4 linked regions of the Arabidopsis thaliana genome follow. The protein of the gene in region 3 interacts with the protein of the main gene of each other region in a pairwise test. Each region holds a gene or a part of one and is shown on either strand. Other genes may lie near its edges.

Region 1 (3,146 bases), on a different chromosome or scaffold from region 3:
GATAATAACATATATAATTTGATAGGAAATACAACGCCAATATTGACCAAGTCGCCCCCAGTGTTGAAGTCCCATTCAAATATTGTCTAAAGAGAAAAGAAAAAATAAAAATAAAAAATGAGCCAAAAGCTTTTTGTGTATGGACGACAGAGCACTCCTCGTCGGACTGTCGGAGAATTGTATTTCTTCTCATATCCAATTTTTAAACAGTAGAAAAACATGATGTTTTTAAGTGTTACAAACTTTAGAATTATTTCGGAGTTACCAATCAAGAATATACAAACATCTTCAAATCCTATAATATAGATTACTATTTGCAAAAAACTATGGAAATTAAATATGGAAATGCTGTTAATAAATCTTTATAAACTGGTCAAATTATGTTTTTTTTTTCTTAAAAACTTTGTGATATATTAAACTTAAGACATTACAAACTGTAGAATTATAAAAAGGAAAAACAGAGAAGAGAAACACAGAATTATTATGGAGACTCGAGTTTAAAAGAAATTCACGGAAAAGACATAATTAAAATTATTTTTGGTTTTGATTTTCAGAAAATGGAAGTATCTCTTCAATATCACTTACCAGCAGATGTTGATGCACCATCAGCTCTATGCCCATCTTTCAGGTTTTTATCTTCCATCTTCCCAAATATGCTATTCATTATCATTGGTGCATTATCAGCAGCAGTTGGGAGTTGCATAAGTTGATTCTTTTGAACTTCGTTTAAACTCTTAATTTTTGCAATAAAAGAATCTAAAGAGACTGGTGTCATGAGGAAATCATCTGGCATTGGAAGATCATAAAATTTTGGTACTTGATCGTGTCCCACATAGGTTCCAAGCTCATTCACCGCGGATTCAATATCTTGTTCAACATTATTGAGAATATTCTTGTATTGTAGAATCATGTCATGACAACCAGAAATAGGATTACGTATACGAGCCTCAGCAGCATAACGTAAACAGTTGGCAGCAATCTCTCGTTGTTCTGGAAATTCAAGATTATCAAGGATATTGCAAACATTCACGGCTCCAAAAATCTGAATAATAACTTTGAAACTTGCATCGTTTGATGGAAAATGTGGTGCATAAATGCACATTGGAGCACAAGTTTCATTCAAAATTTTGCAGACAGCACAACGGTTGGAAGCCATTCTTCTTTGTTTTATTTTCTCTCTTAACCCCTAAATAAAAAAATTGTATGAGAAAAAAAAATTATCAATACACTTTTAAATATATGCATATTTGATTTATATTAACAAAATTAAGAAAAATATCTTCAAGATATATAAAAATTTCTACATATTTAAATTATATATCATAAATAATACCACTAAAATTTATATTTTCACCATTGCTTGTGATGAGTAAAAAATCTACGTAAAACTACATAGATATATATATAATTTAAATATTCAATAAATCTTCCTAACTTAAGCGATTAGAAGTTCTTATAGAAATCGTACAAACATAACAATATCATATCAATGTAACATAAGAGAACAAATTCTCACGAAAGATCTCATAGTCGAATATTTATAAAATCATTTTTTGTTTTTTATGTAGCAATGAAAAGTGTATAAAATGGATGTAATAAAACATGAGTGGTATATATGAAAAACTATTATAAGTTAATGACAAATAAAAAAAACTTCATTTTAAACGTTAGATCAAGATGGTGAGATCATGCAATACCTTGCTCCAATGTAAGAAAATGTAGTAAATATAAATGATGCATAGAATAACAAAATGAGTCATAGTTTTATAGGCATGTCTCAAAACATATTTAAATTGCCATATCAATAATTTTAGGTAAGATAGCAATGTTCAATAAATATCGAAAATTTGACTTATTTATTTATGATGAAGAGTTATTGTTTGACTGCGCAATACTTGTTTAGGAAAGATAATAACATTATTTACTATAATTATTATTTTCCCAAATTATCATGACTAATGTCTAATAAAGGGGTGTTATTCGTTTATGATTTCAAAAGAATTTAAGTGATTTAAACTGTTATGTAAAATTTGTTGTTATTTAATCAAGACTTTTTAAAAGTATGTTAAAATTTTGTGTTATTCATTTAAGATTTGTAAAAAATAATTTAAAATCTTCATAAATTTTGGGTTATTAGATTTATACACTTATAAAGTCATTAAAAGTTTTGTGTTATTCAATTAAAACAAAAGAATCTTTGATTGTTAATAATTTAAATTATTATGTTATTGGTTCATGACTTTCTACATTTTTCTTCTTAAAATGAAGTCATGAAAAATCATTGAAAAGTATTATCAAAATAGAGAGATTGTTTGAAAAACTTTACAAAATTATGAAAAACTAATCAACAAGATTATAAAAAAGTCTCTAACAATCGTTTAAAATCTTTCATTTTTTTACTTTCTAGTATTTGATTGAAGTCATCAAAATTCCTTATAAATTAGGAACCAATTACACCCCCTAAATATCAAAAATTTGACTTATTTATTTACAGATAGATGAAAGTAAATAACTGTTTAAGTGTACACAGTATTTATATTTTTTGTAATGTATAATAGCGTCTTTTACGGTATTTTTTTTTTTCCAATTACCATGCATTAGATATGTCAAATTCTGAAGTTTTGAGTACCAGTTGATCGTTAATGTTTACATATCCAAAACTTCTGTGGTTCTTAAGCCCATACACTGTATGTGTAATTTTGTTGCCAAGAATTTTATAGCTTATGGTATCGACTTTGGACACCAAAATAATGCGTTATTATATATTGTGACTAAAACTTTATTTTATTATATATAAGAAAATTAAATTTAACTTGACACATCTTTTTTTACAAAGCATCAAACTCCAAACACGAATAAAGAAAAATAAACTTTAAACAAGAAAACTCAATTCAACTTCCTCTCATAAGCTCAAACCAAATTTCCTTCTTACTTACTTAAGCTGTATAGAGTTTTGGATCGGACAACCTTGGAACAGGAATAGCCACAAGTGGAGACTTCAACTTAAGAACAAGACCAAACTTCTCTTCAACCTCAAACTTCTGTCCTTGAGGTGCTTTCCAATCAAAAGAGTGAAGAAGTGAAGCAATGTTGAACAGAACAAGTCTCTCAGCCATGTTAATCGCCGCACAAATCCTCCTTCCTGA
Region 2 (4,255 bases), on a different chromosome or scaffold from region 3:
TTGTATTGGAAATATTTATATTTCTTGTAAACTCTTTATAATATAAGTATTTGATTTGCCGAAAAAGGTATAGTTTTATATAGTAAGGTCTTCACATAGTTTTATTTTATGAATTTAATATGCGAAATATCATTTAAATATTTCTGAAATTATTCATATTAACTTTAAAATAGCATATCGTCAAACTTAGTTTATTTGATTTTTCAATTTGAGATTTATATAGAAATACATCTTTTAACCATTAATCTCTTTTAAAGGCACAAAATTAATTTAACACATAAAAAATCTGTTATTTATAGAAAACAATTCCCTATAAAAAGACATAATAAAAAGACATAAATAAAAATATTATCATACCAACAAAGTTTAAATTATTTAATATTAAAAATGTCTACAAACGCCTTCTTCCTTGAAGCCCAAGGCGAACACAAATACACACCTCTAAAGTCTAAACAAATAAAGCATTTTCTACTGTTCTTTTGTCAAAAAGAGAGGCTCTTCAAATCACATAATGAATTACTTTGAATTTGGTTATTAACTTATTATGAAACCTAATCTTCTCCATTGCTACATGGGCTATGAAATGGAGAGATCAAAAACTGTGTTTAATGAGAGAATAAGCAAGAGACAAAGCTATAAAGACTAGAAAACATAAAAAGAAAACTCTGAAGCTTTCTTTACTGAATCCAAGATGTGGGCAACTCTTGCCCTTGATTATGCAGATTGTTCTCTGTTCCTACTGTTTCCTCACCTCCATTGAAGTCAGTAGGTAAGACTAAACCAAGATTCTGATTCAGCGTCGAAGGAGAAGGATTCAAATCCTCAACCAAGTCATCGTTGCCTCTTTGTGGAGCTTTTGGTCTGTAGAGATCGTTGGGATGATTAAACTGGTCTTGAAAGCTCTGAACCTGCTGCTGCATCCCGTTATAATCCGGACAAGGAACCATTAAACCCGTCATACCATAGGGTTTAGTTGGTTGGTAGAAGGAAGTGACTTTATAAGGACAAGTCATTTGGTGATTCTCTCTTAAGTTCCTGTCAAGAAATCCCATATGTGGTTGGCTATAAGGACAGAGACTGTTCTCACATGTTAGGAGTGTTGGATGCATTGGCATCCCAAAATCTTCTTCAAACTTTCTCTTGTAAACACAGTTGTAGTTGTTTTCAAATTCAGGATACTGCTGATTGGTCCGATGAGTGCCACCAATCAGTTCAACATCATAGTCTGTAGATTCAGGAAACAAAACATCTGGGTCTCCACCGGTTGCAGGAACAAGAAAGTTAGAAGTGTTGTTGTTTTCTCTAGACATGGCTATTTGATCAACAATAGCCTTTTCTCGGTAAAGAGCAGCGAGCCATAAAGCGCCTTCTCTTGACGTCATTTTCTCCTGCAAACTTCTAGACCGTCTCACGAGATTGGGTATGTTGCTAATGTCAGAAGCCATATGTCTGATTACACCAATCAAAACACCAATTTTCCACAGCTTCTTGAGATCATGAGGCTTCTTGTAAGGTGGCGGAACACCTCGAAAATCAACGGGTAAAGACAGTTGATCCCACCAATCTTCTTTCCCCGTTGGCCACCATGGCGGTGTCACGCCTTTCTCCAACGGAAACCGCCTCTGAGGAGGGTTGCAGTGAGGAAACAGAGCCGATAACAGAGCTCCAAGAGTAGTATCTTGAAGCTCAAGCAACTTCTGTGCGGTAGAATCCCCAACCTCAGACCCTGAATCACTTCCATCAGAAAGATTGATATCCCTTTGGTGCTTGATTATAGCAGCTGGGCCGTTCCTATCAAACCTCACTTTGTCTTTCCACCATTCACGGAGATTATCAGAAGATCCCGCTACCGTTTTCCCATTCTCTAACACAATCCCATAAACAAAACCTTGAGCTTTATATCGCTCCATTGTCTTCGACATGTACTTCAAGATCCCATCTTGTGCCTTGTACATGGTTCTCTTACTAGAGTGCTCTGGAAAATCATCATGTTGCTGCTTCAACAACAATCTTGTTCCTAGACCGTTCTTCGCCATTTCCTTGAGCCGCTTTAAACGCTGCTTGTCTCTCCAGATCTTCTTCTCAAGCTCCTCTATTTCCATTTCCTCATCACTACTCAGATCATCGCACAAAGCCGTATGCGAATCAGAACACATATGTCCCTCTGTAAATGGAGGCGCCGAGCTACAAACTAAACTCCGGAACATCCCTATATTGTTGTTATACATATCCATAGAATCTGCAAATAATGTCATCAACTATGATTCACTTTAAGAATAAAATTGCATAATCATCGTCATTTAGTAATGCCGTATTTATCAAAATCTAAATTAAAACTCTCTAGCAATAACATAACACAAAAGAAAAAAACAGAGACTTTTAGTGAAAGATCGAGAGATCTAACTTGTGAAATAAGATTCATCATATGAATAACACAAAGATTTAGAGATCCAAATTCCATTAGTTATTACTCCCAAGGGATTGAATAAATACTATAGGAAAACTACTACCAAAGAGATTAAGTACATAATATAGGAGAAATATTTAGAGAAGGTAAAAGAAAATCACAAACAAGATTAATGGTTTATCATCAAATGATTATACAGTAAAAGCATCGATCTTTTTCTTTCTTTTGATTCTTATCAAAGCATATAACGACAAAACAATCCAGTCCGTATTACTACTGAAATACTTGATCTTGCAAAAGTGAAAATGGAACCCATCGGACAAAATATCAGATAGACCAAACCCAACAAGTCAAAAAACAATATTTGCAAGCAGACAATATACGTAAAAGCAAAACAAAACAAAAACAAAAATAAAGAGAAATCGAAGGAAGAAGAGAATATACCCAGAAAACTCTTGAGACCTTTGTGTTGCTTCGGCCACCAAATTCAAACCAAAGAAGCTATTGGGACCTTCAGAGAGAGAGAAGAGATAGAGACATGTATGTATGTATGTTTGTGTATCTATATATATTATGAGCATTAAATAAGAAGAGACTGCGAAAGGGTGGTGATAATAGGCCTGTAAAAACCATGCTAAACGACACATTTCTTTGTGTAAGGATATGGTAAAAATTTCTTATTTATCTCCTTTGAGTTTCATTCCATTTCTAGTTCAGATTCTTTATTTAAATATATAGTCACTTCTTTTAAAAAAAAGAAAAATTAACATGCCCATAAAATGGTTATTTCTGCCTAAATTATTTTTTGTTTGATAGCCTAAAATTATTAATATCAATATAAAAAATATAATCATGTCTACTATAAGAAAAATATCAAATGTAGATGTATGCTTAAGCGGGAAAAATATAACCCCTAAACATAAAGCGAGTATTTTTGAAAACAAATAGGAATCAAGTACCAAATATAGACATTTTCTAAGGCACGTAAATTTACTATTTTAATGGTATAAAATCGTAGCATGTAATTTTTTTTTTATAAAATATTTAAATAATAGCTTTAAATTAATTGGTGCGTATGTTTGAATTTTAAAATTTGTTAATGCATTTAATTTCATGGGGAGCTGTATCTAAATATATCGGTCTAGATAAACAAATAGTAAAACAGTAAGTAGTTCCGTACGATCTATTTATACTTTAAAAAAAACAAAATACAACCTATTTATACTAATTTACTTGTATTAGTTTTATCAATTAGTTTTTACAATGGAATTTAAATGAGATTCTTGTAGTTCTACCAAGTCCTGAATACTAAAAACTTATCATGCCCAAAGACTTACAAAATAATTACTCTCTTTGTATCAAAATAAAAACGTTTAAATTTTTCCATATTAAGAAATTAATGATTTTCTTTATTTTACTAAATCAAAAGATATTTTATGATTTATCTAATCACAGTCCAACCAATAAAAATAAAGTAAAAAATGCACATTGTCATAAAATATATAGAAATTATTACATTTTGCTTTGAAAATGTAAACAAATCACATAATATGATATAGAAAAAAATATCATAGTTTTAAATACAAAAGCTGGCAGAGTATGAAAGAAAAGGGAAAAAATGTTGCCAGTACTCACTAATTAATTCTGATACATATATGATAATGCTAAAAAAACAAAATTATTGAAGAATTCCTTAAAATAGCTCAGAATTGTGGCGCTTTCAATTTCTTACAAAATACCAAATTTCCATGATTTTTGTTTAAACATTTAAAAGCATACAATTTGACATTCTTTAGAATAGAATAAAAATACTTAGTTTACCATTTTTGTTTTTGCATTATATTAGTA
Region 3 (3,350 bases):
AAATAATAAGGAAAAATGTAAAATTAACCCTCCTCTTTGCTTTATTTAATAAAAGAAACCCGAGTTATTTTATTTCGTTCTTAACCACCATATTATATATATCAAACTCAGAACTCAGAAGCTGTCTTTCTTTTTATTAAACGTGTTTATACGTCTGTTTAATTATCACAGAAAAAAATAAAATAAAAAGATGAAAACTTTCAGTACAAGAAAGAGTTCTAAGTACGTATGACTGACTTCTTTATGAATTTTCTTTCTTTTAAACGTGTTTACGCGCGGCCTTTATCACAGAAATAAATATTCTATTTTTTTTGAATTTAAAGAAAGAAAGAAAAGATTACTTTTCAGTTCAAGAAAGAATTCAAAGTATATATCTTCTTATAAAATTTTGGTCTTATTATGCTTCCAAGTTCCATGTAAATTAAATATACTGAAAGACAAACGGTTTGACTAAATATTGATCATTTAATTAGTGATCATATTCACTTACTTTATATATAATATAATATCTTGGCTTTTTTAATGTTTTGAAACTATTTAAAATAAAAACTAACATATACTTGATAGAATCATTAATTATCCTATACACTTGAACATCATCAAGTGAAACTGATATTTTTGTATACCGAAACTACGTAGCAATCCTATACATATGCAGAAAACAAGCGAAGTTCCTTTTTTATTATATTAAATCTATATATATATATATATATATTATCTATTTTTGAGTTCAAGTTCCGTTGCTTGTTTCATTTCACACCATTCTTCTATCTTCCAACATCTAAACTCCAAGACAAGTGCCTTGACCTTGGGACGGATCATCATCATCCGGAGGGTTCTGATTTCCAGAATCTGGATTGCCCTCGGTAGACTCCAAAGTTATGTCAAAAATACTCCGGCGTTTCTCCTTCTTATTGTCCGATTTTTGCCTTTTGTAATACTGTGCATGGCTTGACACTTGCCGTGGAGTCTTTGTCTTCACAAAATTCGTTGATGTCAACGTCGAAGCTCCTTCCCCATACTTTTTCAATCCTTGCAGAAACAATCTGAAATATATCATTAAACAATCAAAATCATAAGAATTAATAACCTAGATATTATCATAATCAGCATCATCATGTTAAAATTAATATAAATCAAATTGATAATTACATCTATCTGAAGAAAAATACTTGTATACGTTACCCTAATCAACAAAACCCAAACTAATCATTTTTTGTGAGATTTGAACTGTTAACTTATACTTTTCCTCAAGATTTAAGACTTTTCCTCAATCAAAAGAAACCCTAATTCATAAGTATTTGATGACTAACCTGTGTTCCTCTTCTGTCCAAGGATTTGGCGTATCCTTCTTCCTGCGTTTGGACTGACTCGATTCCGCCAGTGGTACGTACTCGGGCATCTGATTAACATCGTTGGCCATCTTTTCGTACATGTACTTCATCTCCTCCATTTCCATAGGTTTCTGCAGATGCTGGGTGACATTCTCTAAAGGTTTCGGCAGATAAACATCGTTGACCAACTTTTCGTAGTAGTACTTCACCTCCTCCAAAGGTTTCGGCAGATGCTGGGCGACATTCACCAAACGCTTGTTATCCGGAGGGAATTGCGACAGAGCTGACTTAAAACGCCTGTTGTCGTCCTCCGTCCAGCGTGGACTCGAAGCCATAGTATCCGAGAAAATGAGAAAAAAAAAAAGAGATGGCTAAAAATTCAAGAAACAAGAAGATCGTTTTGTGGAATATGTTACGGAAGAGCGATTGTTTGTTCGTTTTAATTTTGGCAACCTGACAATTTATAGAGGATCAAGTAATGGGTGAAAATTACAAAATTAGCCCTCACTTTACAAAAAGAAACACGATTTCGTATTTAAACACGCACAACTTGACTCAGAAGTTTTCTTCTCGTTTACGTTTAGACGTACGCAGTGGGTAAAACTTGGAGTGTAATTTCAAGTTATTTTAGTTTCCTATTTAACCCCAACTTTATATATACTACGTACTTAACTTGAAAGCTCCATCTTACGTGTATCTTCTGTTTAGCCTAGATGAAATAAAGCAAAAAATAAAAACATTGAAATATATATTATTTTAATGGTTAAAGAAAATAATATAGATGACCACAAAATTAAATAAAATATGGTTTGCCAAAAAAATGGAAATCCCAAATCTTTAACATACCACACAAAAAAAATAATCAAGGGCCTTCAATATCTTTAGGCTTTTTATTTTTTGGTTGTTAATACAGTCATAGAGATTTATATCACTTTGAGTTGGGGGCCTTAGCATGGTGACCGATTTCCAGAGCGACGAGACTCTCTTGTTGGCCTGTTGAGTCCACATTGGTGTTATTTGCTCCCTGCCGTTTCATCACATTCACATCGGTGCTTGCCACATTTAAGTCGTTAATCACATTTTTCTTTGAGCTTTGCCACTGGTAAAAGTTTTCTGCATATATCTCGACTTGGATCGGGCTCTTGCAATCCAATAAGACGGCTATTTTACGCCAATCTTTCCCAAATCGGTCTAACCCAATCAGAAACCATCTGCATTACAATTTCCACCAGTTCATAGATCAGCCCATTTTAATCAAGTTTCACCATGGCATTATTAGTTAACGATATAAATTGAGTCAAATGAAAAAAAAAAAAAAACTATATTGTCCACATTAAAAAAATAATGCTAGAATGTGTAAATCGTAAGATCATAGGACTAAATACATTTTAATCTCAGAAATGAACTATGTGAATTATGGAGTCTAAGAGGAGAATGCGTCTAGCTAGATCCACAAACCAATACCAGTACTAATCAATCATTATGTTTATAATTGAAACTTATACGTGTATGTAAATTCCACTAACTAACAAAAATCATAACTCATCACTCATTAATCTTATATACTTACTCATGTGTTTCTTTGGTCCATATAGTTCTCTCGGCCTGGTACGAACTTTGAGCCATATCCTTAGTCAATTCATTAGGAAAAGCTACTCGACTGGATCCCATCTCTAAAAGATCATTGACCAATTCCTTGTAATGCTCCTTAACATCATCCACCGATCTATCCACATACTCGGCGACACTCTCAAACCGAGTAAGCAAAAAGGCAGTGAACATCACCAGTGCATCCTTGAACATCTCGTTCTCCTCTGTCGTCCATGAATTTTCAGCCATGATTCCCAAAACAAATTAAGGAAAATGAAGTCTACAAAACAGAATGGTGTGAATCTGGAGAACTACAGTATATATAATAACTCATGTAAGGGATATGGCAGCTTATAAATCAACTCAAGTAACAAAAAATATATGGCTTCTCTTCTCTCAAATTGGGGTGTATTAAGTTTCCTTCCT
Region 4 (4,788 bases), 3.2 Mb from region 3:
AAATTACTACCATTGAATAGATTCATTTCACTCAAAACAATTTTGAACCAACAAAGAATAGATATGTCTATGTAGATGAAGTGAACGTGAATACTGTATTTGGTATTACATGCAACTACGTGACGCATGGCATAGTTTTTTTTTTTTTTTATAATAAAAAGTTAATGGTTCCATTAATCCATTAAGATTTAAATTGCAACTTGCAAAGATAAAATCATAAAATATAAAATATATATTAAAATAATCTTTGCATATAATATTAGTCATGGATCATGTTATGTCAAAGACAGAGCTGGAATCCCACTCGAAGTCACATGCATATGAATCTTTCTCACTTTTATATCCTTACTTTCTTAATAAATTTGTACCAACCCATCATATATATATAAAATTGGACATATAAGTTGAGAAAAATCATGATTTTTAATCTCACTCAATTGGTTAGAGGAGAGTTTTGTTCGGGAAGTAAAAGAGAGTGGTTATGCTTTTTTGAACCATTTACATATATTGTAAACTGTGATCAATCCACATACATCTAACAATGTTACGGCCGAATGCAAAGAACTTTATGATTTTTATTAAATTAAAGCAACAACAAATTTTCGCACTATACACCAATGCTCTACAAACCCAAAGAAAACAAAATGCTCCATTAATTTAAATTGAAATGAGTAGCAATAACATAATTCCAAAGAGAAGAATTGTGTCTTGATCTTCTCCTGATGATATGATGATGATGATTATGATCATTTGTCTTGATGCGTGCTGATGACTTTTTTTTGAGCTTTAGAATCATGAATCAGTTGAACTGGTGGTGGTGGTGGTTGTGGTTTGGGTCAGACCATGCCCAGTAACCAGCCGGCGTCGTTTCATCAATGCCATTAAACATGTTACAAAGGCTTTCTTCTTGAACTATTTCATGATTCTGATGATGATCATCATCATGTGCAGATGATCGAATCGATGAAGGGAATAGGTCTTTGATCGTGTTCACATGTGTTGTAATGGTCTCTCTAGGCATCTCCAGATTGATGTCTGAACTATTCTCTGTGCTTCCGTTGTTGCTCCATGAAGCTTCTGCTTCTCTCTTTACTATGTTTCCTTCATTACATTCTTTGTTCTTTAAAGCCATTACCTTTAACCATCATCACACACAATTCAAATGTTAAGTTTTAGAAATTCAGATATTAAAAATTATCATTTCTATATATCATTAAAATAAACATAATTATATATAATTTAAATTAACAAAATATTTTTAAAATGACTAATAACTTAAAATAGATAAACTGTAAGACTATATATGTAAATTATATATTTACATATACTTAGCTTAAGTAATTTTTGAAAATCTTGTAACTATTACATTTCAATAAGTAGTAAAATCATTTAAAACACACAAAAATGATATGATATAAAAATCAGTATTCTTGTCAAATTTGGTTAGCGCACACATGCCATTACTTGATAGTCATATGGGAATGTATTAATTAAATTGTAAATATTGATCAAGAATCCTTTTTATTAATAAACAAAACACCTACTGTCTTTTGACAAACATCTTATAGTGTTGGATCATGTGCCTAACAATAATCTATTGCATTTCGTATTAAACGACTTTAATACACACAAGATACATACATATATATATATATATACACTGATATATATACACATATATATATACTACATAAATAGTACCAATCCAAGCCAATAATCAGAAAAATATTTGTAGTCCTAGATTTATTTTACGTTGGTTATTACTATTAGTGCAAAACCAAAAATAAAAAAACCAAAGAAAAAAACAAACACAATCAAATTAGAAATGAAAGTTGAATTAAACACCTTATTTACTATATAAACACACATATATACTTACTTATATAGATACATACCTCAGCAAGGAGTTTCTTGTTATAGGCAAGTAGAGAAGCATTGTCGGATTTAAGAGACTCAAACTGTTTCTTGAGTGAATCATAATCTCTCTCGAGCTGTCTAGTCTTCCACCTAGCTCTCCTGTTTTGAAACCAAATCGCGATCTGTCTTGGTTGCATCCCTAATGCTTTAGCTAGTTGTATCTTCCTCTCTGGCTCCAGCTTGTTACCAAGCTCAAAGCTCTTCTCTAATGCCTTAACTTGCTCTAATTGCAGCCTCTTCTTCTTCTCTCCCAGCATAGTATGTGCCCCATCGTCTGATAGATTCTCCTCATCCAAGGTTTGATTATGATCTTCTTGCACGTTCATTAAAGACATAGATCTGTTCATCATGTAGTTTCCTCCTCCTATATACACCAACAGAATTCATGACTCAAATCTATTTATGTGGAGAAATAGTGAGAGAAAGAGAGAGTATAGTACCATTGAAGAGATGAGGAGGACAAGAAGGGAGCTGATCTTGACTGTTGTCTTCATGAAGTTGTTGGAACATAAAACCATGTTGAGGAAACGCCATCTCTAATCTCAATCCAGCTTCTGTTGTTGGATCAAACACATACATGTATGTATTCCACCAAAAACCTATCAGTGATTAATGGATTGTGAAATCAGTATAGTGATGATCAAATATACTTTGTTGTTTGCAGATTTGGAAATCACTATCAAATGAGTTAGGTGTTTCTTGTGGATCTCATCAACCTCTCATATAAGAGAAAGAGAGAGAAAGAATGAGGAAAGGATCAAGCTAGGGAGGTTTCTAGGACCCATCCTTAATATTTTAAAAGCTTTAGGCTTATTATTATATTTCATATATATTCTCCAGTTCATGTAATAAAGTTATTTTATAGTTTCTGCCTCAAATATTTTCGATCATGTAACGTTACTAATCATATCTTCATGATGGTTTTTTTTTTCTTTTTCTTTTCACAACACCTTTTATGCTTTAAAACCTCACATATCATTTATTTATGTTTTCCAAGGAAGCCCAAAGACTTTTTACATCAATTGCTTCCTCCTCCACCGATATGGGCCGCTGCTTTTGCAGCCCGGCCCAAAGCATCTGAGAACCATAAAGCCCCATTAGCAAAGTAACGACTGTTGACCACACTAGTCGCTGCAGCTGCAGCCACTTTCCCTGTAATGGTGGCTGCGGCTACAGCAGCTGTGCCCGTGACAAGAACCGCGGATTTAGTGAAATCCGAGAAATGATACTTCTCGTCCGCTGATCTCACGAGTTCCATACTCGACTGAATGTTCTGTGTGAGGCCAAGGTAATGGCTGATCTCTGCCAATTTGGTCGCTACCAAGCTTGAAAATCTCTGAGACTCATCCAAAGCTTTGGCTTTACCAATCGCGTCTTTGCTTAAAACGTAGCCTTTAGCTAACATCGTCTGCACAACTTGTTGAGCCACGGTTATGGCCTCTCCAGGCGATGAAGCAAACGCGTCTGAACGAGTCACCTACAAAGAAACATTTTCGAGAATCTTTGGCTTATAACCTAAAGTAACCTAGTAAGTATTGTTTTTAATGTTACCGTAACACTATAGTCTTCTTCTTGTCTGAGATTGTTAGATTCATGTAAATAGACACCGTAGACCGATATCCAAACGGTTTGATCAACGATCGTAGCTCCCTGAAGATCAACATTAAAATCAATGCCAAGAAGATCATACTGGAAATTTCTAGCTAATTAAGGGACTTACGCTAAGTAACACAGCCATATCCAGAGCATACGCATCTCTGAAGGTTACATAAGCCGTTAATGCATCCCCTTGGCACCTGAAATCCATGGAGACATGAAACAAAATATAAACAGATTCAAGAATGATTAATAATTTACTGAACAATGAACGTTGTTGTTACCCGGTGATTTCAACGAGCTCGACGATACCACAGTGAGAGAAGAACCTATGAACATCTTTCTCAGTGGCTTGAGGAGACAAGTTGGTGACTTGAGCAACGTAACCACAAGGATACATTATATTGTTCTGTTTTCTCACACGAACCTAGATACCTAAATCAAAGAACAAACATAAACAAGATTCTTGAATCACATTCCGTGAACCGTTGAGCGATTTTCTAGAGATTTATACAGCAAGAAATCTACAAAGCTACGATTACTATAATGATTCAAATAAAAAAAATAAAAAAGGTGTCCAGGCCAAATAGTTAGCGGAGAGGGAAGAAAGAAGAAGTAAGAACCCTAGATTATAATTGAATGAGATAAGAGATGAAAGTAACAGTAACAAAGATAATCAATGAGATATGTATCAACCAACCACACAATCGGAAACTTCGAGAAGCAGGGCACGAAAAAAAACTGATAGTGTATGTTCTGTTTTAGATTACCCGATTAAGGCACAATAGAACAGGACGTCACAGGATTGAAGCCAAGTATCGAAAGAGACGGAGAGAAAAGAAGACAAGATTCGTGTGATTGTGAGAGAGAAAGAGGATTCTTCAAATTTAAACAAAAAAAGAAAGAAGAGGAATGTTAACATTTAAACCAAAAAAGAAAGAAGAGGAATGTTCACATAATTTTTTTTCTTTTGTCGGCTCGATCGATATCGATGTTGTGGTCGACGATACGCGTCAAACGTAAGCTCTAGCGATGCGCGTGTTATTATTGTTTCCACGAGTCTTTTGGGCACTTTTTACTTAGGCTTTTTAAAGCCCAAATATCTGTTTTCAAGCCCAAGTAATTAGTGAGGACATTTTCGTCAATTTTTCATCGGAACGCAATTTAGCGGTTAACGCCTTAACCGTCGCTCAGAAAAAAAAAAAAAAAAAAGTTATCATAAACTTTGGCGATATGAATTTACACGGCGTCTCGGGCCATCACGAGCCTAATTCC

What was found.
Region 1: the proteins of AT3G10590 (region 3) and LBD32 interact in a two-hybrid assay, tested with the Arabidopsis thaliana proteins (one large-scale study listed by BioGRID).
Region 2: the proteins of AT3G10590 (region 3) and EIL2 interact in a two-hybrid assay, tested with the Arabidopsis thaliana proteins (one large-scale study listed by BioGRID).
Region 4: the proteins of AT3G10590 (region 3) and HB20 interact in a two-hybrid assay, tested with the Arabidopsis thaliana proteins (one large-scale study listed by BioGRID).

The regions. Positions count from the first base shown.
Region 1 is NC_003075.7:11,931,311-11,934,456, reverse strand, and holds LBD32 (LOB domain-containing protein 32), read right to left. Parts: upstream 1,161-3,146; 5' UTR 1,157-1,160; coding exon 578-1,156; 3' UTR 571-577; downstream 1-570. Other genes in the region: CYP706A1 (cytochrome P450, family 706, subfamily A, polypeptide 1), read right to left, coding at 2,937-3,146.
Region 2 is NC_003076.8:7,180,608-7,184,862, reverse strand, and holds EIL2 (ETHYLENE-INSENSITIVE3-like 2), read right to left. Parts: upstream 2,275-4,255; 5' UTR 2,256-2,274; coding exon 678-2,255; 3' UTR 521-677; downstream 1-520. UniProt on the Arabidopsis thaliana protein: Probable transcription factor acting as a positive regulator in the ethylene response pathway. Could bind the primary ethylene response element present in the ETHYLENE-RESPONSE-FACTOR1 promoter.
Region 3 is NC_003074.8:3,309,643-3,312,992, forward strand, and holds AT3G10590 (Duplicated homeodomain-like superfamily protein), read right to left. Parts: upstream 1,686-3,350; 5' UTR 1,670-1,685; coding exon 1,314-1,669; intron 1,047-1,313; coding exon 782-1,046; 3' UTR 566-781; downstream 1-565. Other genes in the region: AT3G10595 (Duplicated homeodomain-like superfamily protein), read right to left, coding at 2,263-2,545, 2,905-3,173.
Region 4 is NC_003074.8:71,307-76,094, reverse strand, and holds HB20 (homeobox protein 20), read right to left. Parts: upstream 2,789-4,788; 5' UTR 2,497-2,788; coding exon 2,358-2,496; intron 2,282-2,357; coding exon 1,896-2,281; intron 1,136-1,895; coding exon 800-1,135; 3' UTR 556-799; downstream 1-555. Other genes in the region: AT3G01210 (RNA-binding (RRM/RBD/RNP motifs) family protein), read right to left, coding at 2,936-3,394, 3,469-3,567, 3,638-3,713, 3,798-3,913; RP2 (PPDK regulatory protein 2), read left to right, coding at 4,747-4,788. UniProt on the Arabidopsis thaliana protein: Probable transcription factor.